2 linked regions of the Lytechinus pictus genome follow. The protein of the gene in region 2 interacts with the protein of the main gene of each other region in a pairwise test. Links are inferred from orthologs where the notes say so. Each region holds a gene or a part of one and is shown on either strand. Other genes may lie near its edges.

Evidence for each region.
Region 1: the proteins of LIM and senescent cell antigen-like-containing domain protein 1 (region 2) and ras suppressor protein 1-like interact in a two-hybrid assay, tested with the Drosophila melanogaster proteins (3 studies listed by BioGRID). The link is inferred for Lytechinus pictus from reciprocal best matches to the Drosophila melanogaster genes stck and ics.

The regions. Positions count from the first base shown.
Region 1 is NC_087247.1:32,133,689-32,150,320, reverse strand, and holds the start of ras suppressor protein 1-like, read left to right. Parts: upstream 1-8,310; 5' UTR 8,311-8,421; coding exon 8,422-8,530; intron 8,531-9,178; coding exon 9,179-9,229; intron 9,230-11,847; coding exon 11,848-11,968; intron 11,969-13,226; coding exon 13,227-13,345; intron 13,346-14,158; coding exon 14,159-14,241; intron 14,242-15,523; coding exon 15,524-15,638; intron 15,639-16,632.
Region 2 is NC_087260.1:17,719,374-17,736,270, forward strand, and holds the start of LIM and senescent cell antigen-like-containing domain protein 1, read right to left. Parts: upstream 6,735-16,897; 5' UTR 6,543-6,734; coding exon 6,532-6,542; intron 1,306-6,531; coding exon 1,195-1,305; intron 1-1,194. Other genes in the region: methylosome subunit pICln-like, read left to right, coding at 9,574-9,695.

The sequences.
Region 1 (16,632 bases), on a different chromosome or scaffold from region 2:
TGAATTTTCCTTGTATTATTTTCTTTGGCCAACAAGAATGTTTTAAGTCTTAATGATATTCTGAAAAGATTTGGTAAACTTGAACACAGTCTCCAATTTTGTCATATCCAAATGGGTTATGTCAATGGCATAATGAGCCAGAAACTTTGAGGGGCCAAGCATGGCATATATAGAGCAATATTTCTGTCAAAAAAAAAGAAGAAAGCGATTGAAGCGAGCGAGTGAACAAAATTTGTCTCCCTCTTTCTATAAGAAAAGCTAATTTTGCAATAGATTGTTAAAAAAATAATATCACATTTACTCCATCTTTTCGTTTCCCTTCCCCCCCCCCCCCCCCGTGTCTAAGTTTATTCTTGGTGGTGGGACTTCTTCTTCTCTCTATCTCTCTTCTAAATTTTATATTTGTTTTGGGTCAGATTGACAAAACAAAGGGGAAAAAAATTACTTCTTTTTAATCATATATCGTTCAACATTGAATCTCATTTCTCTACAGTTTCAAGGAAATAAACAACGTATTTGTTTTTGTGTCAATATGGTTTCAAGAAATAATAATTAACAAAAAATAATTTAAAAATTAATAATTATTAATATTATCAATAAGTATTAATAATTAATGATTAATCATCTGTTTAATAAAAGTGGTTGTAAGCAGAAAAAAAAAATGAAAACTGACAAGAGTCCTAAAAATTACTCATTTTCAGTTTAAGCATTTGAAAATTTTAGCTTGCGCTTTGTGCTCTCTTGCCCCCCCCCCCAAAAAAAAAATATGCCCTTTTTAAAAAAGAAATACCTTTTTTAATAATAAAACATAATACATTTTAGGTTCGAAAATCACAGATTTTGAATCGTGCTTGCATCAATTATTGTTTAGTACAGTACTGCTAATGGTTACAAAAATGTATAGAATGTTGCTTTATGGTTGAAATATCACAAATATTTGGCTTGCTTCCTGCACTCGCATCAATTATTGTACTCGTTCTCTTCCCGTTCACAAAAAAATGCTTAGAATGTCCAGTTTTCAGGTTGGAATATCACAAATTTTTGAGCTCGCGCTTTGCGCTCGCATTATTTTTTATTGGTGAGTTATGTATCTTATTTAAAATGCAGTAATTAACTGCTTCCTTTACTGGTCAGTATATAAAAAGAATTAGCGAGCGCAAAGTTATTTTTTAGTTAGATACACATCTTTTTCATGATTACAAAACCAGCTCAGAATAAAATAATGTCCATGTCTTATTATTTATTTATTCATTTATTATTTATTTATTCATTTATTTCCGTTCAAACAAAAGATATAATCAAAGTAAAGTGTAAATACATGTTCAAAATAGTACATACAGTTCTATAACATTTCATAACAAATATTGAAGATAAAATTATCTGAACGGAGGGACTTGCCAAGAAAAGCAGAGCTTGTAAATAAGGCAAGTCCCTAAACATAGTTCTAATACTAATTAACATAACCTATATACAAGAGACGGGTGGAAAACAAAAATAAAATACATAATCTACAAAATACCAAAATAGAGCGTATAAGCGACAACAAAAAGTGGAAAGTAATTTGAATAATTGGAGTGATAACGATAATGATGATAAAATTTTTAATAGAAATTATAAGAGTGGAAAAGGGAGGCAAAGGAAAGAGAGGGGAGAAAAGGGTGGTGCAAATAAAACTGAAAATAAAAAGAGGAACATGACAGGTGCACAGGTCATAGGACACTGTAGTGACATTATTTAGAATATATATTAGACAAATTTGTTGATAATTAAATGATAGTTGTAAATACGTTTAGTTACAGTTATATATTAGCTTGACTTGTTGGTGTGGAGTATTGACAAATTAGCATCTTTTTAAGTTTGCGCTTGAAAATGTTAATGCTTGGTGATTCTTTAAAATCATTGGGCAGTGAATTCCAATACACTGGTCCAAAAAAGACGAAAGAGTTTTTTGCTAAAAGAGTACGGGTTGGGGGTAGATGATAACAATTACGTTGTCTCGTTGGGTAATCATGTATGGAGGAGTTTTTACAAAACATATTTGAAAAAAATGTGGGGAGATCATTTTTATTTAGTTTATACATAAATTGGGCGAGTTGGAAAAGATATAAATCATTCACTTTAAGAATATTATTTTGGAAAAAAAGGACATATGTGTGTGATCTGAAATGAGTTTGAAAAACATTTTGAAAAAGTCTGCCCCCCCCCCCTTTGGTACACTAGTAGTGGTTCCATGCTGATAGCGCGTAGATCAGAGTCTAGATCTAGAGACTAGACTAGAACTAAGATATTTATTTTAGATCTAGGACTGGTTCTGTATACGGACTAGACATATTAAACCATGGTAAATAAGCTAATATTAGTCCAAACCCAATCAAACGTAAAGTTCGGAATTAAGTTCGAAGTTAACCATGGCATTAGTCGGCTATTCCTATTAGTATTAGGCATTAGACAGGTCCAGATTTGAGGTAAAGTTAATGCGCTAGCCTAAGCTAGCCCTACCCTAGCACATGTCCCCGGGGGGGGGGGCACTCGACCAAAAAAGTGGTGGGGGTGTGCCGCGGGCGAGACAAAAAACGGGGGCCTTGGAGCGGGCTTATTGTAAAAAGGAGGGTCCTCGGAACGGGCTTCGGAACTACAAATGTTTGTGAAAACGGGGGTCCTTGGAACGGGTCGCCTGCGTGCGAGTGCGTATGTATCCCTATGGAACGTGCATGCAGCTGGGCTGCGGCACGACTGCCGGGCGCGCTAGCGCAGAGGCGATGGTCAGACGGCGAGCTGCGGCCGCTTTTCACCAAAATTGCGACCGGAACGGCGTAACGGAAAATATGCGAAGCCCTATATAGCTGGAGCGGATTTTTTTCTTCTTTTTTTCTCGAGAAGAAGAAAATGCTATGCTTTGGAGCGGCTTTCTTTGTTCTTTTTATAAATAAGACAAAAATGCTATGCCTCGGAACGGAAATTTGAGTGTAAAAGTGGGGGTCCCCCCGGGGGTCCCCTCCGCGGCACATACCCACTATGCATTATATACTGAGTGCCCCCCCCCCGGGCACATGTCTTGCCATTAATGGCAGCTAGTTTAATAAGTGTTTAAGAATTGGATGTATATATAGATCTAAGCCTATAAGGCCTATGTAACTATGTAAGGGTACCGGTAATTTGACGATGCTAATTCATTCTGAGCAACGTGAATGCTTACGATCGGCACTGGTCGAGGCCAAGTCCACGCGCATGCGTACTCTCAATCCGAAGACGCAAGTCATGAATATTCATATGTCGGTCCAGAACTCGGTGGGAAAAATAATTTCGCGGACGGGAGGGGGGTATCACTATGCCCTACATGTATTTCTACTAACTGCAACTAATCCCGGGGGATGAGGGGGATACACCCCCCCCCCACACACACACTTTTCGGAGAGGGGGAGGATGGCAATTAATCATCCCCCCCCTGCACGTACACTTTTCAAGGCAGAAACAATCATCAAATGATTAAAAATTAAGATATAAGATAAGATTTTATTAAACTATCGACCCCCGATCGGGATCAGTATGAAATTCTCGACAAAAACATATAAATAATGAATTTGCGTACACATTGAACATGCGTATAAAAATGAACATAAAATTATATATTTTACAATATGTCACAGGGGCCGCGGAACCGGGGGGCTGGGGGGGCTTCAGCCCCCCCCCCCCCCCACACTTTTTTTTCCAAAACCGTGTACAAAAACGTAAAAATGACCATATGATTGTGATTTTTAGCATGGTCAGCCCCCCACTTTTGGCTCAGCTCCCCCCCCCCACTTTGAAAACCGTTCCGTGGCCCCTGTACAGTCATAGGCCCTAAAAATGAACATATTTACAATGATGAATACAAATGTTTGCATAAATTAAGTACCGCATGATGTTGCATGCAATAGCTAGGCTATACACCCGGGGCTATATACAACAACAAACAACAAAACCCACTATAAACTATTATTGTCGTGTTTAGCACAACATTGTAAAACGCACTGGCCCATATTCTGAAGTCGGGTTTAACTTAAACTCGGGTTTATAGTTGTGGTTTTAAGTATGGATATAGCCAAGTGTTACATTCATACCGAGGTTTTTTTTACCTGACTGCTAAGAAAGCACGAATGCCTGTGTGCAAGCTAGCAACCAGGGGACCAACGACTTAAGGTCCTCTCCGAGGGACCTGGTAATGAGGATAAATGCCTTACCAAAGGGCACTATAGCGCACCACTTGGGAATCAGTCGAACCGCTCTACCGACTGAGCTATCGCGCCTCATAAATCACTAACAGTATAGAGATATCAAATTTAAGCTCACTTGGCTTTCAAATCATTCATAATTGTCTAGGAAGTATAAATAGCTTGTCTTCACCATCGATGAATCAGGAAAGAGCACAGTAAACATAAGAAACATACAACTTAATAAAAAAAAATGACACTTTTGGCTTCCCATAACTTTAGCACAGATCGAGTTAGACCATGGCAGTGGCGGATCCATCAGGGGGGCACAGGGGGCGCACGCCCCCCTAATATTTGAGCGGCGCCGAAGTCGCCGCTTAAAAAAATTATACACTGATATAATATTAGCAACAGTAAAGGAAAGACTATCCCCCAGCAAAGACTTAACCCCTTTTTCAACATTATGGCGCCGGTGAAGTGCAAATGAAATATGTGCGCCGCTCGGCAGTACGCCCCCCCCCCCTTTCGCCAAAAGCTGGATCCGCCTATGCATGGTCTAAGTTAAACCTGACTTCAGAATACGGGCCACTGTGTTTAACCATCCTACATGCACTGCTAATAGTTACATTCACTCTGGTAACTGTATAATAGCCTTTATCAATTACTATATTGTAATGAATTTTACAAGTTTTTTTTTTAATATGGCACCTTTTACAATCTACCCATTTGGCAATATTTGGTAAGCACACATCAGGGTCCTATAGAATATTCTTTGGTTATGTATACATGTACATCTATCTTTCTTTACTAAAGAAAGAACACACAAAATGGAACGCATCTCCAACTTCCTTCAGAGAGCATATAATCATTCACTGATTCTAGAATCGGTTATTGATGGGTACACCTTTTAGACCTGCATCTGAATGACACAATGTGGTTGCATCAGTGTCACTTAAAATTAGGAAATATTACTCAAAACCCCATTTTCCCCCGTCATCTTTTGAACAACTTAAATATACGATTTGACCATCAGTTGGTACATGTTAATAGAGGCCCATGCACCCTGACGTGTTAAAATTACACCCTAGAGATTGAACATAACACCAAAGAGTGTAAATGTAACCAGCAAAGGTGTATTAATAACACCTATAGACACTGTAGACACTGTCAATTTAACACTGGTTTAAAAATTATTGTGGTCCTCTATATGTACACCGGTTAAAACCAGTTTTTGCTGTGGACATAATTTTTTTAACGCAACTTCGAGAGTTTTAGGAACCAATCAGTCCCAATTCTCTTCCCGGATCACTTGTGATAAAAATATTAACCAGAATTACACCTGCTTTCTGAAGTATTCAGTGCAACTCATCCATTTTTACGTGAACTGCATATTATAGTTGTTAATGTGTGGATTCATTTATAAAAGCGGTATAATCCCCATGCATGATTAGCTAAATTGCAAGTGTTGTTAGCTAAATTGAAAGTCCCCTCCTACGGTCCTGCATCATGAGAGTATATCAAGAAAGTTACTTTCAGGGGCGACGATCCTGGGGGCGGCCCCCAAACTTTTTGAAGCACTGAAAATGTGCCCTTTTCACGCAAGAAAAATACCCCCTCACGATCGTGTACTGTGCCCTTTTTATCGGAAGAGGACCCGTTTGGGTGTTACCAAGTGCCATTTCGTATAAGTGCCATTTTCCCCAAAAAAATGCCCCCTCACAAACTTGTTCTGTGCCACCTTCATCTGAGAAGGACCTGTTTTATGTTTGAGCAAATTCTCCCTTCTTGTAAGTGCCCTTATCGTATCAGTGCCCCTTTTTACCCAAGACTAAAATTGCGCCCCTCGGGAACATGTCCTGTGCCCCTTTAACCTGAGGAGGACCCGTTTTATGCCGTTAGCAAGTGCCGGCCCCTTTTCCTTCTTATTATATAGGTGCCCTTTCTCATATCAGTGCCCCTTTTTACCTAAGAAAAGTGCCCCCACGAACATGTTCTGTGCCCCTTTCACATGAGAAGGACCTTTTATATGTGTTAACGAGTGCCCCTTTGCCTTCTCATAGGTGTCTGTTCTTCACTCAGATATAGATAATTTCCGTGCCCGATGAGCGCCCGTTTTCTTATGGTGCCGTTCTGCTTCCTTCTGCAAGTGCATAATGAATGAAAAAACTTGTAGAATTAATCCTACGTGCCTTAAAGGGATGCTCCGGGATGAAGATGTTTATAGAGTAAAATTCTTAAAGCAAAGTGCTGAAAATTTGATCCATAACAAATAATTTGCATTATTCCGGTGAAACAGTTTTAAGCATGTCTTCATGAATATTCATTAGGTGGGCTGATGATGTCACATCCCCACTTGTTCTTTTGTATTTTATCATATGAAATTAGGTTAATTCAAAATTTCTCTACCAAGAACTAAAACAATTATTGGATTGACATCTGATTAAGTGCATTAGTTACCCGGGGAAGGGGGGGGGGGGGCAGTCAAATGTATTGCTGTATACACACGCATGGCCAAATTATTTCCAAACACACCCTAAACGAGTTTTTCTCTGTGTGCAAAATAATCCCCTAAAAAAGTTTTTCGTTTCACGCGTGCATGTCATGTGTACAGCAATATATTTCATTGCCCCCCCCCCCGGATTAGTTATTTCTTGCTGCACCTTTTTCGTGTTATTTCGTAATAATGGAGGCACGTCATTTACACATGTTATGAAAAATTAAACAATTATGATTTCATGTAATACCATAAGAAAAAAGAAAGTGGGGATGTGACATCATCAGCCCATCTAATGAATATTCATGAAGACATGCCTAGAACTGTTTCATATCGGAATAATGCAAATATTTAAAATTCATTGATTTTTTGCTATTGATTTTTTCCACTGAAAGTTTATGCTTGCTGCCCTTCCCCCCCAGCGAAAAATTTCTGCATACGGCCATGTTAAAGATAGTACCCTTTTCGAAAGAAAAGGTGCCCTTTTCCCCTGTGCCCCCCCCCCCCCGCTTTCAACTTCACTCCGCTGCCCCTGGTTAGTTTAATGACTCGCAAAAAGGTCAGAATTATTTACAGAATGATAAATTGTGTACCTCAATTTATGCTAATAATGTTTTATAATGATTTTCTCCAGATTTTGAGCTAAAATAATATGGACCTCATGGAAGAACAGTATTTGTCATAATTATGTTGACAAAACTGAATATGGGCTAGGCCTATCCATCGATCCGTTTGTAAACGGAAAATAAATACTCTACCTCATACCGGCTATAGATTATTTGTCATTCTCAGAAGATTTTTATTAGGGCAATCAACTTGAGCAAATTCGATCAGAACAACTTCCAATCCTGTTCATTTTATCTTATAAACCTCAACAGTCCTTAAAATATCACATTTTCAGTTCAGTGGGCTCTTACACTTTTGTATACGTTACTTCATATACGAGCAGCTGTTATATATGTCGTGTAATATAAAATGAATAATTTCTTTTTTAAAATGTTTGATGATGACTATATTTTTTTTTCTTTAAGGAGCGAATAAATAATTTGTCCATCTGTTGATATACTGAAGGTACAATAAAATCATTTCAATTTGTTTGTTTTTTCTTATGGGGAAGCTGCTCGCGCATCACAATTCAAAAAATTAAATTCTAATAACTTTTTAAATATTTGATGGATTTTCCTCAAACCTTCACCAATTAATATCTTTTTATTATTTTTCTGCTATTTTTACATAAACCTTTTGCCAGGCTATATTCGGTGGTTGGGGCACTGAAAGTTATAAGCCTATATACGACCAAGAAAAAATAAGAAAAATAAGAAACAGAAAGAAAATGAAATAAAAAATTGAAATGATTATGATACCATTTCAGGATCTATGAAAAAAAATGCAAAGACATCACGCACTCATTATATCCCGGTTTATTTATCTATTCAATTATTTAATTTACACAGCCGGGTAGTCTCTTCAGTATATTTATATTCAAAATCAGCTTTGACTTAACATTTTAAGCTCTTCAATTCAAGGAGCTTGTCGATTGGGAAATAAAATGGATGTACAGTACACCACCACGATTCCCGCCCCACCCCCACCCCCATATGCTGAACTTAACCCCGCCCCAATTCCCTACACTGCAAGAATTCACTTCCGGTTTGACAGCTACACCCTTCTACTCACACCAGACTTGAGCCAAATATTACTCTTTTTATAATTATCACTGGAAATTAATCCTCGAAAATGTCTAAATCTGTCAAAAAACAGGTTGATGATGCAAGAGAAAACAGGCACCAGGATCTCGATTTGTCGGATAAGAGCATTTCAAAACTGCAGGACATTCCAGGACTGTGTAAGTATTTTTCTCCGGTCCCATTCATTAATATTGGTGTAGGCCTAGGCATAACACGGTCTTACATGATGTAATTTGGAAATGCTTCTGATGAGTGAAAACAAATAATACAAATCAATTTTTAAACTGTGATGAAATGGCATTTTGTGGGATTTATATCATAATAACATGGTAGATCTGCTCGCATATCTGTAACATAAAAAAATAAACTAGAATTAAAAAACTTCACTTCTTTTGACAGTTTCTTTTAAGTTTGGCTTTGGCTTTGCTGAGTCATGAGATGAGTGATACATATGTATGTTCTGCTTGTATTTTGCTGCTGCGAATACAATTTTAACATGATGTGAGTGTACAGTAATAATGCCCTCTGCATCTAGCCTAGCTCCAGATGAAGTCAAACCAAAATGTACAAATTTATTTACATTTGTCTAAGTCCTAAAACTTTCATGTTCACTGTCGAAAAAAATGTGTAAATTTTCCAACTAGTAAAAATAAGGAAGTTCACCCGAAAAATCCTGAATACTAAAAATATTGTGGTAATGAATTTCAGAATTTAGTCACTGTAGAGTTTTATTGGCATTCCTTAAGAGGGGTTAGATGTCAAATGTGTGTTAATGAATGATCTTTATCTTCAATATTTTCTTTCAGTTTCGCTCAGTAATCTTGTGAGGCTGACTTTGAGCCACAATAAGATTGATGGTAAGTTCTATAATTTTTTAATTGCTCCTCTCTTTCTCTCAATTTCGAGATCTGTCACTTTCTTTACCTATTTTTCTCTGTCTCTCTAAATGGGCTGTCCCACAAGGTTATATCATGTCCCACAAGGTTATATCATAACCTTGTTCATAGAATGAGTGGTCACACCCTAAGATTTAGCAAGCATACGTTAGTGTATGTATGGCAAGCTGTTTTAATGTTTGAAGTTTTAATCCTATTCCATTTCTTGATATATATTGAAGTAATACTATTATTGATATCGAGAATAAATTTCTGGTATATATTTTTGTAATGTTAACAAATGGCAATTCATCTTATCAAGAGTGAAATTATTTATATCAAGCAATAGCTAATTTGAAAAAAGCTTGTTATAGATTACTGTACATTGATGTGTACTTCCTTTGCATATGATTATTAAATCTTAAACCACCCTTTTCTTGAGGAACTTATTCTAGAGTAAGAGTATATTGCGGAAAAGGAAGAGCAGATCAGTTACAAAAAAGTGTACTACCGATTTCCTGTGACTTTATAGTTTTCAGGGGAAGTGGTTTTTGTAAGCTTAGAAAACATTCTACTTTTCTTCCCCTTCAGTTTGCTGCCTTCCAATTCCATTTCTAATAAGCATTTGATTTAGAATAGGCCTTGTTATTCATGCAAGCCAAAGGTCGGCTATATTATGTTTGAAGTTTGAAAAATACTTCTGTCTGGTTTGGTCTGGTCATTCCTATCTCCTGTTTTGTAAATTGAACATGCAATGTTAAAAGAGGGAAATTTGTAGATGGTGATCTATTTATCTCTGTGTAGATACCTCAACATTACAGTGCATGTAACAAATACTAGTAATAATCTGCCAATTTTCAAGGGTTGGTTCAAAGCTGATTGAATCAGACTTTAAATTTACTTGAATATGAAAGAGCAACTCTTCTACTTTAAACTGATATTAAAATTTACTTGTAAGAATTCAAACCTTTTGCAAGACTTTGCAAGTAAGAAAAAGATGAAGCTTTGACTGATACCTCAATGATAAAGTACTCTACTTTTGAATTGTGGTTATTTTAACCCTAAAAGGACTGGGGGCCATGATGCCCCCCCCTCAACGCTTTACGCAACATTTCCAAAACGCAAAAAGATAGCGCCGCAAAATTTTATGACTTTTTTCTTTAAAGTCTTGCGCAACTTTTGAGACCAAATTCGCCACATACAGGTATAGCATCGTGGCGTCACGTGACTTTTTACGAGACAATGTCATGCCGAAAATGACTCATTTTTATACTTTGTGTACAAAGTCTATGGGAGATGAAATTCATAAAAGGGTGATTATTTTTCGTTCTAATTTGGTCTGCTTAACCCTTTAGCACCTGAACCGCCCGAGACCGCCCTTCCTATTACACACTGAACCGCCCTTAACCGCCCGTACGTTTTCTTTGCGCTATAGTATCTCTTACCGTGGTAATATTGCGTGTGCATACCGTATAGGTTGGCTGCTACATAGATCTGCATAGAAAAGTGTATGCTTCTATTGAGTATAATAGAGAAAAACCGATTGACATGCATCGGTGTGTAGCAAGTTCCAGACTTGCGCAGTCGATCTCAGCAAAGATGGCTGCGTCTATGTCTCGGAAAACCACTTACTTCGCCGAAGAAGCTCGGGTGTTGCTATATGTTCATCAAAACGTTGAATATCACACAGAGTGACATCTAGATGTGAGTTGGAATTAATTTTTGACATATTTGATCCAAGGTTTGGCGAAAACTTTAGTATTCTGTCAGTGATACTTTACATTTTTTTTAAGGCGTGGGACTGGGGCGGCTGAAACCCGAACTTTTGTTTTTTTTCTTCTCGCTCTGCAAATGATTGTCAAAGGTCAATATTCATACATCTGATTGAACTTTGCCATGTACCATTCTATTCAACAGGTCCTATGCTACAAAATAAATATAACTTGTAATGAACAAAAGTAAATTTATAAAAAACTATTTCAATTTGTTTGGAACAATGCCTACTTATTACCAGTTTTATTGTTTCCTCCAGTGAGTAATTGCCATTATGCATAGGAATCTGTAGGTGCTATAGGGTTAATTAATTTAGTTGTTAAATGGTCTGTAATAATTTCCATTAAAAAAACAATGAAAAACAAAAGATGAAAAAACAAAGAAATACATGAATTCTAAAAACAAAGAAATACATTATAAGGAAAAATTGGCTTTCGCAACTTTTCTCTGTGGAAACCTTTAAATAATTATTTTCAGAATTTTTTTATACTAGCTTGTAGTTTAAGTGGTAAAGAATGTTCTTGCCAAATTTCGGCGCGATCGCGCGAACGACAGCCGGGATCAAAAGGGGGGCCATCATGCCCCCCCCCCCCCCCGTCCTCAATACATCTCAAATAGCCCAGTCCTTTTGGGGTTAAGTAGCTCTATATGCTACAAGTGTTATTTATTTGATGCAAGCCTAACGTCAGTGTAGAATTCTTTCTCCAGCACCCAACTATTAATTATAGTCACCATTTACTTTGCACAAATATAACAGTATATATCTATATAAAATCTTGAAGTTGTGAAATATAATTAATATGCGTGTATATTTATTTTGTATCTAGTTGTTCCACCACATATAGTAGAGCTGACAAATCTGGAATCCCTCAATCTATTCAACAACCACATAGAGGAGCTACCTACAAATATAAGCTCGATGCAAAATCTCAAAATCTTAAATGTTGGGTAAGTCTCTTAAATTGTAACTTATATTTCTTATTGGCTGTTGCAAGAAACTTATATTCAATTGCAAATCAGGCATAAGTCCCTTAATCAAGAGTAAGATCATTTTGTAAGAAAGTTTAGTTGCAATTGAAGTATTTAATGCAAAATCAACAACAAATTTTCTTTTAGATTATAGGAATTGAACTTGATTTTTGGACTTACACTTAATTTCGAATTGAACATAAGTTTCTTGCAGAGCCCCATAAGATTTAGTTTTCGTCATGTTGACAAACTTTACAAATTTATACAGTCATTGAAACCTTTTCCCCCATTAAGGTAGTCTAGATCTGGACATTAGGAGTTATTTGTTAGGACTCACTCACCTTTCACCAATACATTAGTCCTCTCTCTTTTCACCTTCTAGTAGGAGAAGGTGAGAAGAGAGAAGACTGATGTATTGGTGCAGGTGAGTGAGTCTTAACAAATAATGTCCATATGTAGACTACCATTAAGGTGGCATTGTCATTTCAATTTAATTTCAATTTGTATGAATTACTTTCTCAATTTTATATCATCTATTTTGCCACATAAGATCAAAGTACAAGGATTTTAAGCTAAAATAAATTACAATGTTTTTACCGGCTTTCAGTATGCCCAAGTCGGGGGTTCAAAGACAATGGCATCATGATCTGTCCGAAGCAATCACATTCTGGTGACATTTTTCCCATTCAAGTACATGTACATTTCATGCTGACAAAAGATCTTAATAAGTAAAACTTTAGGGATTCTTTTTTTTACTTTAGCTTTCTCACAATGGCTTGCTAAGTTTATTTGGATGGCCGACCTTGGGAGATCAAACTAAATTAACATGAATAAAATGTTATTGAGACAACATTGGCAGAGACATTCACAATAAATCTATTGACAAAATGGAGAATATCCATCCAAAATAGATCCATGGCAGTTGACACATGTATGATTCCTTCTGTGCGAGCATGTCATGGTATAAATCTCATCTTTTAATCAGAGGGTCGTGGGTTTGAATCCCAGCCATGGCGTGTTATCCTTCAGCATGGAGTATACCCATATTGTGCTGCACTCAACCCAGGTGAGGTGAATGGGTACCTGGCACAGTGTTATCCTTGAATGCACTTAGCAGTGGAATGGCAGCTCCAGCTAAAGTCGGGGTAATAGTGTACCTGGGATTAGATAATAGATGCACGTAGCTGGTGGTATAGAAATGCCTATTATTATTGTTATTATTATTTATTGATTTCAGCATGAACAGATTGTACAGCTTACCTAGAGGCTTTGGATCATTTCCCAAACTAGAAATACTGGATCTCACATACAACAACCTCAATGAGAATAGCTTGCCTGGAAATTTCTTCTTATTGGGTAAGTTATACAATTTATATACCTCCTTTCTGTTTCTCTTTTATTTTCCTTCCTTTTATTCTAATTGTTCTAATTCTTCCATTTATATTTCAAGCATTCTTTCCATTATTCTTCCTAAACATATAGGGAAGAGTGAGAGGCACATTTCCAAAACTAAATGTAACGGAGAAGAAAAGTGAAGGAAAAAAATAAGAAGACAAGCTGAATGAGCTAGAAAGCAATTCAAATTGGATAAATTAGTAATATCCCAGATACGGAAAAGTTTTGCTTCTTTCTCATGTGTTTCAACATACATGATGAATTTTTCCCCTCAGAATGTTCATTTACAGGAGTTTAATTCCTTTTATGTATTGCCTATGTGCACATACCGGTATTCATATTTTGTCTTTGATGTAAGTTTACTGGCTCTGTCTGAAATGACACTTGCAAGAAAATAAGAACAATTTTCATACACAACTACCCTGGGAGTAACCACATGACAACTTTTGATATCCACTAAATAACAATTGCCAATTTAGTAAATTCACAAGGAAAGGGATTCCACTTTTCAAACCATAATTTATCTAAAATTCCTGCCGTCACTCTTGGTGAGTGTTTCATAAAGCTGTTTGTAAGTAATGAATGACTTTACACAAATTGGTGACTATTTAGCTGAATTTGCACCTAAGAACTTGTTGCAGTCGTGCGTAAAGTTAAGTGTAACTTTACAGCTTTATGATTTTTTTCCTTTTATTTCATACCAATAAACTCATTATTCTGGTTTGATTTGCATTTTATTATTCAACATTGTATGAATATATCTTTCTATAATAGACACACTGCGAGCACTGTATCTCAGCGACAATGACTTTGAAGTGCTTCCTGAAGAAATTGAACAGCTGAGCAAATTAGAAGTGGTGAGTAACAAACTAATACTTTAAAAAAGATATATTTCACCTCATTATTTATTTACTTTAAAAATATGTATTTGAAGTACAATCAATTCTAGTAAATCATTAACAAAATGTTAAAGAAGAAAAAAAATAAAAACTTGTCAGATGAGCTTGAAAAATGTCATGAAATGTTTCGTATTATTGAAAGGAAGTATCTGTCTGAGTGTCTAGACTTTTTTGGGGGGGAGGCTGGGGGTAATCATCATGGTGCATCTCAAGGATATATTATATTTAGAGAGATGGCACATTTTAAATACCTAGTAGTGGTGGTGTGATCAGGTGGGTGTTTCATAAAGCTGTTTGTAAGTTAAGAGCGACTTTAAGAAAGACTGGTGATCCTTTCTTGTGTTAAATGGTATATTCATTGGCGATGGTTTAGCCCGTAAGAAAGGATCACCAGTCATTCTTAAAGTCGCTCTTAACTTACAAACGGCTTTATGAAACGGCCCCCAGAAGCAACAAAATAAAGACAGTTCAGTTAGGCAGTAATGTCAAATAGAGGTCCTCATCTTTGGAGTACTATTCCAAACCACCTTAAGAATCAACTTTCTGTTAATAGCTTTAAACGTTCCTTTCGATTATTTTTATTAAACTTGCACTCAGTAACTTAATATTATACATGTATGTTCACCACCACGACTTTGACTTTTTCGTTTTTGTCCCCCCCCCCCCCTCTTACTATCACATATTTATTTTAGGGTCAACGCTCAACAAGTCAAATTGCTCTTTTTTGTTGACCCCTCATTCAACATAAATTGTTTTCTTTGTTTTTCTCTTATGTTAAGTTATTATCTTAAATGCTATATTCTATAACCATGTAAATATGTTCATCATTTTTTTACTTGTATCTTGTATATGTGTTTTTATGAAGAATGAAATAAGATAAATTAAATTCAATTCAATTGAAATAAATTATAAAGCACTCCTGATTCATTATGCCTCCTCCCACCTTTGATGGTTGGTGGGGATGTAATTTATTGGGTCTTTCATTCGTCCACCTGTCTCACAATGACTAATGAGCCATTGGACTGATCAATACCAAACTTGGCTCATGTGTGAGTGAGGATGATATGGGATATCAAACTTAACATTATAAATTACCAAACCTTCAAAATAAACTTTTTTTAGAGAGAGAATAACAAGCATTAGGTTGATTGTTCAGTTCAGTAGACAGTATACAATCCCTTAGCTTTATATTACATGAAGGTATGTCTCTTAATCATGTCACATGTCTTTTGCATTTTAGCTTTGTGTAAGAGACAATGACCTGATCTCCCTCCCTAAAGCCATTGGAAATCTGCCGAAATTGAGAGAGCTTCATATTCAAAGCAACAGAATCACAGTTCTGCCCCATGAACTGGGTAAGTCACTCATATAGCTTACATTGGCCAGATCTGGGGGTGTTTCATGAAAGTTGTCAGCACTGACTAAATTGTCAGTGCTGACTATTTCAGTGAAATCCTTGGTTTTTATTGGCTGAGAAGCTCTGGCCACTGACTGTTACTATGGTAACTGTCAGAGAAAGACATCTTGTCAGTGCAGGGTTGTTTGATTTCAATCATGTCAATTTAAATCATGATTTAAATCACGATTTAAATCACTTGATTTTTTTCAAAAAAATCACTGATTTAAATCAACTTTTATAAAAAAAATTAGTTTTCTCTATTTTCTCTTCTTCTTAACAGATACTTTCAATGTAATCATTTTCATTTCTGTTCCACATGCTTTAGAGATACTTTAAAAGAATGATACACCCTCATGGAGTCTGATTTAACACCACTGTTTTATTTTCAAATTGTAAAACAAGCAAAACTGATGAAAACAACAAGTTTCTAACGAAGTAATGATAAATAACTCTCTGTATGACACCAAACTGTTAAATCTTCAATAAAATAATATATAAAATCTACAAAGGTGCTCAAAGTCCACAACTTGGATACTTTTACAAAACAGCTGAACTACTTGTATGTACCTCCTTCTTGTTACTATTAATACCCATTCTTTCAATTACTTAAGTTGAAGGCATATGTGTACATTTGATAAGAATTACATGTATATTTGCGTGCCTTTAATAATGTCAATTTTGTTGGAAATTCTCAAAAATTCACAAAATCTCATCTCTCAGCTACAAAGAATACAGAACACTGCTGCTAGAATTGTCAATAAAGTCCCTCGAAAACAGGATATATCCAAATCACTCAAGCAACTGCACTGGCTACCAGTAGAGAAGTGTATTATCTTCAAAATCCTCGTCATAACATTCAAGAGCATCCAAGGAAAGTCCCCCTCATACATCGCGAGCATGATCAACACCTACCAACCCTCCCGATCACTTCGGTCATCCAACAAGAACCT
Region 2 (16,897 bases):
TGTGTATTATTTGATAAATTTACTTTTCTTAAATTTTTTTTATTATATCAGATTTAAATTCTATCGCATGCCCGATCAAATAGAATATCTGAGAATTTTTGTCTTGTTTATTAAACATCTTCTCAACTTATGGGCTGAAAAGTCCAGGATAGTCTTTACACAAGCCTTTTAACGTCCAAGTTTGTGCTCAAACACCTCTTTTATAAAAAAAATAAACAAATTTCTGAGTGGGGGCGATAGATTTAAATTTAAATCCAATTGATCAGAAATAATGCCATAAATTCTTATGAGTAAAAAATGCATTCAATGACTACTACATGTATGTTTATGTAATACAAATGTTGATGATACTCAAGCATACTGTACATGTAAATGTACATGTATTTCACATTACTGACCCTATACTAAAGCTGTAGACAGAAAAATTGATTTTTATATTTAAACAAAATTTGTGTTGCTATCCTGGAGGGTTGACAGTCAAAGGGCTTAAAAGAAGTCAGAACACATTCAAGCCCCAAATCAGGCAAATGCTCTGTGTTTACATTTATGGTAAATGTTGATAAAAATAAAAAACGGGATTAAATGTGAAACTGCTTGCCATACCAATGTCAGTGTACATACTGGTCATTAAAGGGGAAGTTCACCCTGACGAAAACTTTGTTGTAAAATAGCAGGAAAAACAATATATTGGTGAAGGTTTGAGGAAAATACATGTAAATTAAAGAAAGTTATCATAATTTCAAGTTTTTGATTTGTAACATCATAAATGAGTAGTTGCCCCATATATTATGTAATATAAAATGCATAAATTCTATTTTTTAAATGGTTCATGATGACTTATTTTTTTATTTTCTTTTCAGCAGCAGGTGTGAAATGATTTGTGAATTGATAATGAAGGTACACTAAAACCATTTTCAATTTTCTGAGAAAATGACATTTCATAAATTTGTTACCATATGGTATGTAGAAAGCTGCTCACATCTATATGACGTCACAAATCAAATAATTAAAATTCTATAAAATATACATGCAACTTTTTTGTTCTTTTGGATTTTCCTTGAACCTTCGCCAATGGTTACTTTTCCTGCTATTTTTACAAAAAACTTTCTGTTAGAGTGATCTTCCCCTTTAAACGTGCAGGACTTTCACCCCCCCCCCCCCCCTCCTCACTAATAACAACTGGAGTATACTCACACAAAGCACTTTTCACACCACAATTCACCACTTGAGTTGACGATCCGCTGATCTTCTCTAAATACAGTGTTGCATCGCACACACGCGGATTTCAAAAGCGACATTTCCTTCCTGGAGAAAAGAGAAAGAAATAAAAATCAAATGCCAACAAAATACAGAGGGAGTGCGGCCAGAGAGGGATTTAGCCCCTGAGATGTACAAAATATGACAATTTGATCTGAGCTCATTTCATTAAAAAAAAATACTTTGTCAATTACATAATTATATAGGCCTAGTACATTACATCATATTCATAAGGCTCAGCACCCCAATAAATCAACCTCCATGGTATTTTAATGCTTCATACTGATTAGCAGAGTTTTGACCTTTTAATAGAGGAATACTAGGATAAAGCAACTGAGTTACACTTTTTACGTAGTTTTTGCTCTTTAAGGCTTAGGCCTTTAATAGCAAGTTGGATCAATTACAATGTATTTGTTTAGAAATACTGAAATACACTGTACCATGTTTTTTAAAGTCTCCTTTAATGATATCAGAATTTTTCATTGTAAATTAATGAATGAGTTAATAATAGCAACATTTGAACTACACTGTACATGTAACCTGGATAATAAACATAATTATATCCTACAAAAATTGAATCGTGTATGTATGCTGATTGGTTTGAATAGCATCATGTGACCAAACATATTCCCACTATTTTGAAATGTTGAAAATGAAATACCCACTGAAGAGAAATTACTACCAGTATTCCGTGACATCAATGATGGAATAGTGCACTATTCCATCATTGACATCACAGATCATTAATTGACACAGATTGCTCAGTCTCTCGGGCACAGGCTCAAATGCGTGTTCCACTGAGCACGTAGCTTCAGGACAAGTAGGTCAGTCAGCGCAGCGCGTTATCTATATTTTGGTTCAGACTAAAAAAAGGATGAACGTGTACAAGAACAAGATTATCAAGATCTGTTGTTCTAAATTATTGAATGTAGGATATAAAACAAATATACTGGTCTGGCCTTTATATCGAAAGTATAGAGGGAATTTTTCATCCTCGGTTGTACTGGCAAAATTACTATTTTTCCCTCAGGGCTTTGCCCCTCGTGAAAAATAGTAATGCCAGTCCAACCTCAGATAAATAATTCCTGCTTTACTTACTCAAAGCCTGGTGTGTTTGTACATGTAGGCTTGATACGAAAAAAAAAATGATATTTCATAATACATGTACATGAAGAATGATGATTAAGATGATGATGATGGTGGTGGTGGTGGTGGTGGTGATGCTAAGTAATGATGGTGGTGGTGATGCTACTGATGATGATGATGATGCTACTGATGATGGATGATGATTAAGATGATCATGATGGTGGTGGTGGTGGTGGTGATGCTACTGATGATGATGTTGATGATGCTGATGATGATGATGCTACTGATAATGATGATGATGATGATGATGATGAATAGATTATTTTCTATTTTTCACAGAAGGAAAACATGTACATGTATATGAACAACTCAGTGATATGCAAATGAGAGAGAGTCGATTACATGTATGTCCCTAACTCACTATTTATTTTGTTTGTTACCGTACTGTTTAAATTATAAAATATTTCATTTTTACAGATATGACAATAAGGACCAACTTAACTTAATCATAAACTATAAATAAGATACATGTAATGGTACTACCCCATGTACAGGGAGGAGCGAATAAAATTTTGTTTCACTTGACAATATGGGGGAAATTATAATTGTTCATATTTCATAATGGAATACAAAAGAAATCCTGCATTAAACTTTTTTGTAAAATTAAGTGAAACTTTAAAATGCCATAACTTTCTTTTTTTATCCGATTTCGATGAAATTCAGTTTTATGCTAGTTAGATTAGGCCCTAACGTTAGACCTATTCTCCTTATATTCAAATCAACTTTCTGTTGAGTGGACTTGTCCTTGAAGGTCAAGTCTACCCCAGAAAATTGTTGAGCACTTTGGATAAATGGAGAAAAATCAAACTAGCATAACGCTGAAAATTTCATCAAAATTGGATGTTAAATAAGTTTATATGACATTTTAAAGTTTTGCTTTTTTTTTTTTACAAAACAGTAATATGCACAACTCAGTGGCATTCAAATGAGACAGTCGATGATGTCCCTCACTCACTATTTCTTTGGTTTTTTATTGTTTGAATTATACAATATTTCATTTTTACCAGATATGACAATAAGGACCAACTTGACTGAACCATGTGATATAGTATTAAATAATGCTAATTCCACATGTTCAGAGAGGAATTAATCGTTGTTTCACTTGACAATGAGGAGAAAATTAGAATATTTCATATTTCATATAATAAAATACAAAATAAATAGTGAGTGGATGACGTCATCAGTCTCCTCATTTGCATACCGACCAGGATGCATGTGCATACATGTATACTGTTTCGTGAAAATTGAGCAAAACTGTAAAATGTCATAACTTTCTTATTTTACATCTGATTTTGATGAAATTTTCAGTGTTATGCTTGTTGGATTTTTTTTTCTTTTTATTCAAATCAACTTTTTGTTGGGGTGTACTTGTCCTTTAATAATGTGAAGTAACATGTATATTTACTACATGTATAATATAATAATGTAGATATCTTCGTGTACGACACTTAACACTTAGACTTAGATCTACATGTGTCTTAGTCTAGTTAACGTAGACAGTAACTTTATTAATAGTCTAGATGATTATTAATTATGGACAGCAACACAACCAAAAAGACAACACAAATTGTGACTGCCGCCTGCCCTATTTTTTAGTTCAGTTCTTATTAACCCCCCTACATCACATGTAATGTACCTATTACTAGTAAAGTAGTACCAGTACAGTCAGACCGCAGGTCCCTATGCTAATGAGCAAAAAGGCCAGATTCATCCAAATCATCTCGTGGCTGAATCCTCCTCCTTGCAAAATCTCGTGATTCGTGAGATTTTCTTTCTCTTAGAATTTACCTGTTTTAACCTCAAGTTAAATGAAATATTATTGCACCATCAGATAGAGTAAATGTTACTCTTTCATATTGGTCATTTATTTTGTATACAATATTTTGTTAAATAAGTAAATTTCTGGCCTGAAAATGTGCCTCAAAACTGAATTTTCTTCCTCTGTTTTCTTTTGCAAATTGTGCAAAACTTTTTATTTTGAGCCTCAATGATATCTATATCACCATAAAGCTGAACTTCTGTACTTTCTCACAATGCCACTCTTGATATGCGGCACCTTTTAATCGGATCAAGATCACACTTTTCCCACCAAGGTACAAGACGAGATTTCTGAAATTTTGTACATGCATGAAATCCAGAGTTCTGATTGGCTGGATAAGGTTCACAGAACAACAGGCGCGGGGTATTTGAGGAGATTACCACATGGGAAGTGTGACCTTCCCATGAACCCAGGCACTGGAACCGTTGGAATTTGCCAGTGTGTGGTCTCTTTGACCAATCAGAGTGCAGTATTCTTGTTTTCATGCTGCTTTATGTACTTGGCAAATGAAAAGTGTGATCTTGACCCGATTAAACCAATTCTTATTTTGAAACCTATGTCATTTTAAAGCATACATATTCAGCTTTATCATGATCTAAAAATCATTTGGGCTCAAACAAAAATAAGCAGCTTTTTTCATGTGAAAATAATTATTTTGTAGCATATTTTAGATCAAAATTTTAACCTACAGTATATTACAAAATCTTTGAATGAATTCAAACACATGACCTAAAACTAAAAGAATGATTCTTCTTCTTTACAATGATACCAAATTCATGAAATTCGATGCACAAGTAGAGCAGCAAAGACCGAATGAAAAGAGGTGTTTTGGTCCGCATCAAGCTCATTAAATATGCAAAACATCTCAAGTCATGAATATCAATTATCACTTGGATGAAAGAAGCCACTTTCTTGGGACCTGCCGTCTGACTGAGTAGTATAGTCACGTATTGTATTACCGGACACTATTATGTTTCCGGACGCGCGTATCACTGCGTTCTAAAACAAATTCGTACCGTAAGACTTCCGCAATTCAATTTCACAGAGCAATACATAGAACAAGATTGCAAAAACAAAGCAAAAAATCAAACTTTTACCTAATTATCTCTAAAAATTACAGAAAATGCTTAAAATATCATATAACATAGTTTTGTATTAACAATTGATATATTTTCTAACGGAAATATGGGCCTGATTTGCCGAATTTCAATCTCGTCCACTCCTTCGATCGAATGACGAGGTGTGGGGCATTGTGGGTGATCGTTGACGGCTAGTTCTCAAGGTACCCGTGCGCGAGGTTTACCGTGAGTAGAGCCGTCGATCGGCAGCGCATCGATAGAACTTGATGAGCGTCACGATACGAACGCGTGCATATTATTATTGGAAAGTGCCATGGAACATGCAGCTAACAAGACAAAAAGTTATCAAACACGAATTTATTACCAACATCTGCTCAGATTCGATATAAAAAAAGCAAATAATACTTAGAATTTACTCATGATATGATAAAAGAAGAAAAAAATCACAAAAATTTGTTCTTACATCATTATAATCAAGGATATCTTTACCCGTCCGGCGCGCGTCCGGAATCATGATGTAATTTGTCGCGCACAAAAATAATGGTTTTTCGTGGAGGGGTATGCGGCAAGTGCGATACGAAGAAATAGGTTGGTAAATATAAAATAATGTTATCATATTCATAATTTTCATAATATTTGGAAAAGCAAGCGTGAATTTTTCTTGATTGCATTTCCTCTAGTTGTCATTTTTAAAGCACTGAAAATATTAAAGGTGTCATGTCAGGCAATAATAATACTATTACTAGGCCCTATATACACTGCCATCACTAGTACTTTTAATTTTATACAAATAGTGAGTCCTAGTCCTACTACTACTAGTACTAGTACTAGTCCTAAAGGCTAAGAGTTACATGCCCTACATCATATGGGAATTTCTATTTGATCATTTACAATAATTGTAAAGAAAACGTCTAAAATACATGCTACCCAGCACTGTAATCAGATACCACTGCAGTAGACGTTTCTCAGCTAGCGGGTTTGACCTCTAACTCGCCGACGTGCTTAGGGGCAACTCCGGTATGCGAAGCATTCAGAATCCGCTGCATTCGCTAACTGCTTCTCCGTTGACTCATGCTGAGCGCGATAGAATTTCCATAAATAAATACAATTTCTGACTATAGGAACTGCTAATACATAGGAAATATACTGGAAATTGGTGGTTTAAAAGTATTCTAGCTCACAACATCAAAGGCTTTCAATAACAAGTATTAAGTTGATAGAAACACTCACGTTTTTGTCATCGGTGATCGATAAAATTTGCCAAAAAGCCACTCCTAAAAATATAATCCGCAGCTAGCGGAAGTCGACAACATCAACAGTGAAGTGTGCAAGAGGTTCGCTGATTCCTCTCTCAAGGGCTATGTCCTATGCATATTGCGATACTTGAGGATCAGCGAGAAACAGTAGTCACAGAATTAGGGCCCCGTCCCCACGGCCACACGATCGGCATGGGAGAGGGGCTATTGATTGATTAATTGATGGATGGATGGATGGGGGATGGATGGATGGATGGATGGATGGATGGATGGGTGGATGGATGGATTGACTGACGGATGGATGGGGGATGGATGGATGGGTGGATGGATGGATGCACTAGCGTACCTACGGGGGGGGGGGGGGGGCAGAGGGGGCAGACTGCCCCCCTGACGAGTCACAACCCATGCAAGGGACATATGCCTGCCCCCCCCCCTGACGAGTCTTGAAGACCTTTTTTTTTGCTTGTCAAATTTTTATCTGGTACAAAATCATTTATTTGTGGTTGAAGACCTTTTTTTTTTTTTTTTTTTTTTTTTTGCTTGTCAAATTTTTTTGGCGGACGAATTTGCCCCCCCCCCCCCCCTGTGGAAAATCCTAGGTACGCCAGCGCCACTGGATGGATGGATGGATGAATTTTACTTGGTAAGTCACCGGCCACAACATAATAACATTAAAGGCTTTCAAAGGAAGACCCACGAAAGCTCGAAAGCTTATTTCCAGTGGGGTCCTCGATCGATATGTAGGCCAAAATAGAATTGAAATAATAAAAGGTAAATTTATACTATTTACACACAAAAAGGAAATCACAATTCACTTTAAGCAATGAATAAGATATAGAGATGATATATACAAGAAAAATATATAAAGAAGAGAAGAAGAAGAAGAACGGAAGAAGAAGAAATTAAGAAGAAGAAGAAGAAGGAGGAGGAGGAGAAGAATTACGGAAGAAGAATTGAGGAGGAAAGGAAGAAAAAGAACACGTAGAACAACAACAATAACAACACGAAGAGGAGAATAGAAGGAAAAAAGATAAAAGAAAAATAAGGAAAAGAAAAAAGGACATACATATCTATAAAAAAAAATCAATCATATTTATGTAAAATAAAATTACCTGACAGAGGAGAAAAGATCACGGTCTGTATTCAGGTTGGTATAACATATCATTTGCATATTCTCTTAATTTGACTCTCAATGCTCAATGAAGATATGTATATTTAAAAAAATAAAAAAATCCCAATGAGATGATGATAATAATAATAAATACGTTTATTGAAAAAGAAAGTGGAGGCTGAAAAAAAATGGAGTACAAAATCATGTTTATAAAGCATTCAATTAATTGGTTTCTCAGGTTGGGGTTTTAAAGATACTGATAGTTAAAATTCATAATCACGAGATCCGGCAAAATAAAATAAAGAAAAAAAATATGAAAAAAGTAAATAATTGTATTTTTTCAGCCTCCACAACCTGTTGAGCCAAATCAACGATTTATCGGTCCGGAGGGGTTGTACAGATGAAGCCTTAATTGAAACTCGTGCCTATTTTCAATTATTTTTTGTGAAAGGGGGTACCCATTATTATTACGGATTTTCTTCCTAAAAGAGACCCATGTTGTGTTCTAGTCGTTTGTAATGGCATGTGTAACTTTAAAAAAAAAATTGTTTACTGACGGACGCAAAAATTGAAGTTTGTTGGAAAACTGGGAAAAAATGACTTAAATGGGTTAAATTTACGAAAAGACAAAATCATTTACAAGGTATGTTTAAAGGTCTAGTTCACCTAGGAAAAAACAAGTTAATTTGAAGAGAAAAATAAAAAAAGCATAACACTGAAAATTCCATCAAATGATCGGATATAAAATAAAAAAGTTATGACACTTTAAAGTTTCGCGTATATTTTTCACAAAACAGTTGTATAAATAACTCATTAAAATGCAAATGAGAGAGTCGATGATGTTCCTGACTCACTATTTCTTTTGTTTTTTATTGTTTAAAATAACTATTTAAATTTTTGCAGATTTGACAATAATGACCCTCTTGATAGGCCTACTATAGTTATAGAATCACAAAATGTTAATGATAATTACTCAGTCATGTTCAGGGAGGAATAAAACTTTGTTTCACATGACAACGAGAAGAAAATTAGAATATTTCATATTCCATGTAATGAAATACAAAAGAGTGGATGCCATCAGCCCGGGGTCATCAGTACCCTCATTTGCATGCCGACCAGTATGTGAATAACTATTACGTGAAATTAAGCAAAACTTAAAAATGTTATAACTTTCTTATTTTACATCCGAATTTGATGAAAATTTATTTGTTATACCTGTTTGATTTTTCTCTTTTTATTCAAACCATCTTTTTGTTGGGGTGGGCTTATCCTTTACAGATTTTCAAGCTCAAACTGATACCCCAATACAATACCCCATGTTTAAAGATTTTTCACTAAAAAAAATGACTTAATAGATCGATCGGGGTTCTCTCAGCGGAAGACTAGTGTGAGTTGATCGAAAGCTAATGATGGGCACTTGTCGTTCATTTCTACTAGCCTAGGCTATACTTTTCTCTAGAGACATTTTTAGTTATATGGGTAAATAGAGACGAGTTTGTGTCTACGACTTCTAATTTTCATACTATTCTCTCTTCTTCATTCATTTCTCTCCCCTTTTCTCCTCGGTATTTTTTCTCCTCTTCGGTACCTTACCCCTCCCCTATGCCTTTTATACGTCCTATACGTTTTATAAAAAAAAATCCATACGTTTTATAAAAAAATAAGCCTCTAATAATTTACCTTTTAATATCTGACACACACACAAAACAGTCTTTCAATGAAAAATCTACATTTTTTTCCGAAAACCCCCAAAATAAAAATTGAATTGAACGGTCGATGTTGAACCATGGCCATGGACCTTATTTGGCACAGCGCCATCTCTGTCGAATGAACCCAACGAAATTTAGTCGATTCGATGAAGATATCGCCATCACGCGGGTGTCTTGAAAAAAAAGAAGGGAAATAATGATGGGATTTATCGCTTCAATTCAACCTCCACAGTCATCAGTGAGGTGGCAGAAAGATGACACCATTGCTTTCGTGGAGAAACAAGACTTGTCTAAGGGGACATTATACATAGCTGAAAGGTAAAAAAAACTAAGTAATAAGGCGTGCGCGCTGCGCCGCGCCTGTCGGGCATGATCAGAGACTCCATTTAGACGAAACTCTAGCCGTCATGATCGGGGAAGAGTCGGCCTGGACCCGGTACAAATTGCGCTGGGATTTATTCCTGATCCTGCAGCAAGCGCCGCGCCCGACATGCATGCATGCAGCATGGCCTGGTCGTTCCGGATTATTTTTGCCAGGGGGTCGGCTAATGAGAGAGAATGAAGCTTGTGAAAGGCTGGATAATGGGCTCCAAATTCGGTAGGCCTACTGATGCATGTGGTCTGATACGATCGAGCGAAGTTCGTGCAGCCTGCAGTGCAGGCTCCACTTCACTACCGCTACTGGCGCTAGCTACAGTCACTAGTCACTACATGCATGTACGTCTACGCTCCACCAACCCGAAGTTCGTGCAGGCTCCACTCCACAGAGTCCACTACCGCTACACTACGCTCCACCAACCCGAACTTCGAGACCGTGAACTCGATCTGATATTCCGAGTGACAAAGGACATGAAAGGTGGGGTTTTATGGGGGGGAAATATAAAATTCATGCAACATCACGATATTTAATAAAAACAATAAAACTAATAATAATATTCTTACTTTACACTAAGTTTCACTTCTTTTCCATGCTTCTATCAGTCTCAAAATTGGTGATTTAGTTTAGAGCCAACATGAAGTTCCTCACACATAAATAATTCGCTGCCAATTTCAAAACATCGCATGCGGATGCGATACATTGTATGTGCGAGGTGCCGGGTCCGGTCCAAGCTCGGACCCTCGCGCATGCGATGTTTTGAAACCGGCAGCGAATTATTTATATGTGTGAGGATGTGAAGTGGAGTGGAGCCTGCATGAACTTCGCTCGAGGTAGGACTGATATAGACAGCTGGCAGCAGTCTGTTTCGCGGAGTTTTTTAACATTTTTAATTTTTTTTTAATTCTCGTACACAGACGGCTCGCGATCGTGCAGCCGCCATTAGGGGGTTAACAATGCAAAATCCAGCTGTGAAGCCTGTGATCCCTCCGATGCCGGGACTCATCGATTCTTGTCTTTATTTCATAAAAATATATAAAAAGAACTGGACTAAATTAAAGTACATGTATTCCGTTTTGGCCTGAAATGGCATGCACCAAAACGGGGAAAAATAAACTTCAAAAGGAAAAAACCAGTGACTTTGGCTGTCGCGCAACGCCATTTTCACTGGTTCATCCGAACTTCATACATAAACATACAGAGATCAAGTCCCTGTACAGATCGGGTTAGAACTTCGGTCTCTGTAATTGTCGAGTGGAGCCAACGGAGTTCAGCGGAACAACCAATAACAGAGACAGAAGCTTTTGGTCTAGGTCTGATACAGTTAATGTTGTAAATCGGATCAAAAATCAGATCGAAAATCGGATCGGCAGTTAAGCTTCTAAAATCGAAATCGAATCGAAAATCGAATCGGCGATGTTTAAAAACAAAGGAATAATGACATCAAAATGTTGTTCGCGGTCGCGCGCATCTTCCTGACAAAGTCACAAAGACGAATGCATTGGAATGGAAGTCGCCAACATGCGCGATCGTTTGGAACATGTTTTAAAGCCAGGGGTTTTGAGGTGTTATTGCTTTAAAATAAACCGAGTGATTTTTATTAGAAAGATAAACGAAAGACGCATCTTCCGAGCAAAGGCGCAAAGGAAAATAAAATGAAAATATTTCTCATAGATCAGAGGTTAATGAACGATCGGCGGGACATCTTTTAGAAGTATTTTTAGGTGCTAGCGATTTAGAATTATTGGAATGATCTCTTACGACGCATCATCTTAAAGTCGCAAGTGCAATTAAAATGAAGTAGAAGACGCAAGCACGCACGATGATTTGAAATGTTATTAAAATGTTTTGGGTAGCTAGCGTTTTCAAATCAATTTGAAGTTCACGGAGAAGATGTCTATCATCAAAAAAGGGGGTAAGAGAGTAGCGCAGTGAGCTCCGTCGGTAATACGACCTTTCAAAGTTCAAGGTAGTGCTGCAAGTCAGGCGCCATGTTCGGGTTCGGTTCGGTTCGGCAAGGTTCGGCAGAAAATTGCCGAACATTGGTTCGGTTCGGGGTTCGGTAATGATAGACTGATAAAAGTTATAGTTCATTCAGGTATACGTAGCGTTTCGGTAGACAATTTGTACTTGATTGACTGCATGTGCTCGCGTGTCCTCTGTCACATCAAACCATTTTATCTCTATCTTGCTGACATGAAACTATGAAAGTTATAGCGCTCAACGAATCAACTGTTATCTCGAATTTGATTATCTGATGACAGATTTATTGGGTAACTCACAGTTCTAAAATGGCGACTCTTCCTCGTCGTCCATACCTGGACCACGCTTTGGATACTTGCCAAATTAACTACGCTCGCACTCGTACCGGTACCAGTTAGGCCAGCGCATGCAGTCCCCTTGTAGCGGGACTCTGAGCTCATGAATATTTATATTTACAGTCCGGCCAAACGTGATTGGCCATTGCATCACATACGAGGCGGCCAGCGCCAGTGCACTGAACTGCAGGCATAGTAGGGCCAGGGGCGTGTCGAAGAAAGCGTGCTTATGTAATGCGCCTTTCGCTAATTGGCTCGATGGGTGAACTAAACCACCAATCGCATGTCGCTGATTGTCGCATTGGTACATACAGCCACGTGCTTTGTCACCCGCGAAACTCAGCTCACCGATTGAAAAGCAATTGCCGAGATTTCTATGATTTTATTGGTCAGATTTCATTCGACCATGAACATACAGACAAAGTGGGATGCAAAGTTTTACGACTGTAATGGGACAGGGGGAGTAGAGTGATCATCGAATTGTTTATGGTTAATTTGAGAAGTTGATAAGAAAGGGAAAAAAGTAAAGATTGGGGGTCATTTTCCCCCAAGAGATGACTGTTTCCGCTTTATCTTCATTCAACTTTTCAACGAGGGGAAGGGGATCTTGCTATATGCTATACCGTAATCATTCATGAGTGTTTGATTTTTATTTTCATCTGATTGTTAATAATAAAAAAGATAACTTCACCTCATCTCATTTCTATATTATTTGTTTTGCGTCTCTCCTTTCCATCTCTAACAGTCACTCACTTTATTTCCCACTTTCACTGGATCTCTCGTTTTCAAAACTCTTTACTTCTCTCTAGAATCATGAAAACTAGACAGTAGCGAGCCGACACCTCAATAATAATGTTAATCACCTCAATCAGATCTTTATTCTCCGCCGCAACAATACACGAGTTACGATCTTCATCACGTATCGTAATTCGTAATATTAATGGTACTTCATCTTTCACTTTCAGTTTATTGAGCTCGTTCATTCAAAATACTTTGAAGATTTTCAAACAAGAATCTTGTTCGCCACCTAAAAACAACAATATTTAAATAATTAGATTTAACCAATGAACACTCATACAGTTTTGGTTTTCTTTACCATGCTTCGGCGATTCGGCCACAGAGCGAGAGATGATGAAAGCCAGTAAAATGATTATAGCGCAAGCTCGCGCAACATCATTCATCGGATCTCCTTTCTTAATCAGGGCCGTAAAAACCACAATGTCAACATGAAAATGAAAACAAAATCTAGTAACCGCAAAATAAGCGCATACTTCCAACATACAATTGCAAAGAAGATTAGAGAATGCGCAAATATAATGATTAGAAAGGGTGTAAACTTACATGTATAAATTTATTAGCTGAAAGCCGTTTTTTTTTTTTTTTGCCGAACTTCCGAACCAAGTCTTAGTGTTCGGTTCGGTTCTGTTCGGTTCGGAAGTGCCATGTTCGGCGAACTACCGTTCGGTTCGGCGGTTCGGCTACAGCACTAGTTCAAGGCGGCATCCGCTATCACCACGAGATTAAAAATAAAATGTATATCATCATAAACGATGTAAGAGAGCAACGCAATAAGCTCCGTCAATAGTACAGTCTTTAAAAGTTTATGGCGGGGTCAGCTATCACCACGAGGTTGATAATATAAAATGAATATCATCATAAACGATGTAAGAGAGTAACGCAATGAGCTCCGTCAGTAGCACGATCTTTAAAAGTTCACGGCGGGGTCCGCTATCACCACGAGGTTGAAAATAAAATGTATATCATCATAAACGATGTAAGAGAGTAACGCAATAAGCTCCGTCAATAGTACAGTCTTTAAAAGTTTATGGCGGGGTCCGCTATCACCACGAGGTTGAAGAGAAGATTTATATCATTATAAACGGGGTTAGAGAGTAGCGCAGTGAGCTCCGTCGGTAATACGACCTTTCAAAGTTCACGGCGGGGTCCGCTATCACCACGAGGTTGAAAATAAAATGTATATCATCATAAACGGGGTTAGAGAGTAGCACAGTGAGCTCCGTCGGTAATACGACCTTTACAAAGTTCACGGCGGGGTCCGCTATCACCACGAGGTTGAAAATAAAATGTATATCATCATAAACGATGTAAGAGAGTAACGCAGTGAGCTCCGTCGGTAATACGACCTTTCAAAGTTCACGGCGGCATCCGCTATCACCACGAGGTTGAAAATAAAATGTATATCATCATAAACGATGTAAGAGAGTAACGCAATAAGCTCCGTCAATAGTACAGTCTTTAAAAGTTTATGGCGGGGTCCGCTATCACCACGAGGTTGAAGAGAAGATTTATATCATTATAAACGGGGTTAGAGAGTAGCGCAGTGAGCTTTGTCGGTAATACGACCTTTCAAAGTTCACGGCGGGGTCCGCTATCACCACGAGGTTGAAAATAAAATGTATATCATCATAAACGGGGTTAGAGAGTAGCGCAGTGAGCTCCGTCGGTAATACGACCTTTCAAAGTTCACGGCGGGGTCCGCTATCACCACGAGGTTGAAAATAAAATGTATATCATCATAAACGATGTAAGAGAGTAACGCAGTGAGCTCCGTCGGTAATACGACCTTTCAAAGTTCACGGCGGCATCCGCTATCACCACGAGGTTGAAAATAAAATGTATATCATCATAAACGATGTAAGAGAGTAACGCAATAAGCTCCGTCAATAGTACAGTCTTTAAAAGTTTATGGCGGGGTCCGCTATCACCACGAGGTTGAAGAGAAGATTTATATCATTATAAACGGGGTTAGAGAGTAGCGCAGTGAGCTCCGTCGGTAATACGACCTTTCAAAGTTCACGGCGGGGTCCGCTATCACCACGAGGTTGAAAATAAAATGTATATCATCATAAACGGGGTTAGAGAGTAGCGCAGTGAGCTCCGTCGGTAATACGACCTTTCAAAGTTGACGGCGGGGTCCGCTATCACCACGAGGTTGAAAATAAAATGCATATCATCATAAACGATGTAAGAGAGTAACGCAGTGAGCTCCGTCGGTAATACGACCTTTCAAAGTTCACGGCGGCATCCGCTATCACCACGAGGTTGAAAATAAAATGTATTTCATCATAAACGATGTAAGAGAGTAACGCAATAAGCTCCGTCAATAGTACAGTCTTTAAAAGTTTATGGCGGGGTCCGCTATCACCACGAGGTTGAAGAGAAGATTTATATCATTGTAAACTGGGTTAGAGAGTAGCGCAGTGAGCTCCATCGGTAATACGACCTTTCAAAGTTCACGGCGGCTTCCGCTATCACCACGAGGTTGAAAATAAAATGAATATCATCATAAACGATGTAAGAGAGCAACGCAATAAGCTCCGTCAATAGTACAGTCTTTAAAAGTTTATGGCGGGTCCGCTATCACCACGAGGTTGAAGAGAAGATTTATATCTTTATAAACGATGTAAGAGAGTAACGCAATGAGCTCCGTCAGTAGCACGATCTTTAAAAGTTCACGGCGGGGTCCGCTATCACCACGAGGTTGAAAATAAAATGTATATCATCATAAACGATGTAAGAGAGTAACGTAATAAGCTCCGTCAATAGTACAGTCTTTAAAAGTTTATGGCGGGGTCCGCTATCACCACGAGGTTGAAGAGAAGATTTATATCATTATAAACGGGGTTAGAGAGTAGCGCAGTGAGCTTTGTCGGTAATACGACCTTTCAAAGTTCACGGCGGGGTCCGCTATCACCACGAGGTTGAAAATAAAATGTATATCATCATAAACGGGGTTAGAGAGTAGCGCAGTGAGCTCCGTCGGTAATACGACCTTTCAAAGTTCACGGCGGGGTCCGCTATCACCACGAGGTTGAAAATAAAATGTATATCATCATAAACGATGTAAGAGAGTAACGCAGTGAGCTCCGTCGGTAATACGACCTTTCAAAGTTCACGGCGGCATCCGCTATCACCACGAGGTTGAAAATAAAATGTATATCATCATAAACGATGTAAGAGAGTAACGCAATAAGCTCCGTCAATAGTACAGTCTTTAAAAGTTTATGGCGGGGTCCGCTATCACCACGAGGTTGAAGAGAAGATTTATATCATTATAAACGGGGTTAGAGAGTAGCGCAGTGAGCTCCGTCGGTAATACGACCTTTCAAAGTTCACGGCGGGGTCCGCTATCACCACGAGGTTGAAAATAAAATGTATATCATCATAAACGGGGTTAGAGAGTAGCGCAGTGAGCTCCGTCGGTAATACGACCTTTCAAAGTTGACGGCGGGGTCCGCTATCACCACGAGGTTGAAAATAAAATGCATATCATCATAAACGATGTAAGAGAGTAACGCAGTGAGCTCCGTCGGTAATACGACCTTTCAAAGTTCACGGCGGCATCCGCTATCACCACGAGGTTGAAAATAAAATGTATTTCATCATAAACGATGTAAGAGAGTAACGCAATAAGCTCCGTCAATAGTACAGTCTTTAAAAGTTTATGGCGGGGTCCGCTATCACCACGAGGTTGAAGAGAAGATTTATATCATTGTAAACTGGGTTAGAGAGTAGCGCAGTGAGCTCCATCGGTAATACGACCTTTCAAAGTTCACGGCGGCTTCCGCTATCACCACGAGGTTGAAAATAAAATGAATATCATCATAAACGATGTAAGAGAGCAACGCAATAAGCTCCGTCAATAGTACAGTCTTTAAAAGTTTATGGCGGGTCCGCTATCACCACGAGGTTGAAGAGAAGATTTATATCTTTATAAACGATGTAAGAGAGTAACGCAATGAGCTCCGTCAGTAGCACGATCTTTAAAAGTTCACGGCGGGGTCCGCTATCACCACGAGGTTGAA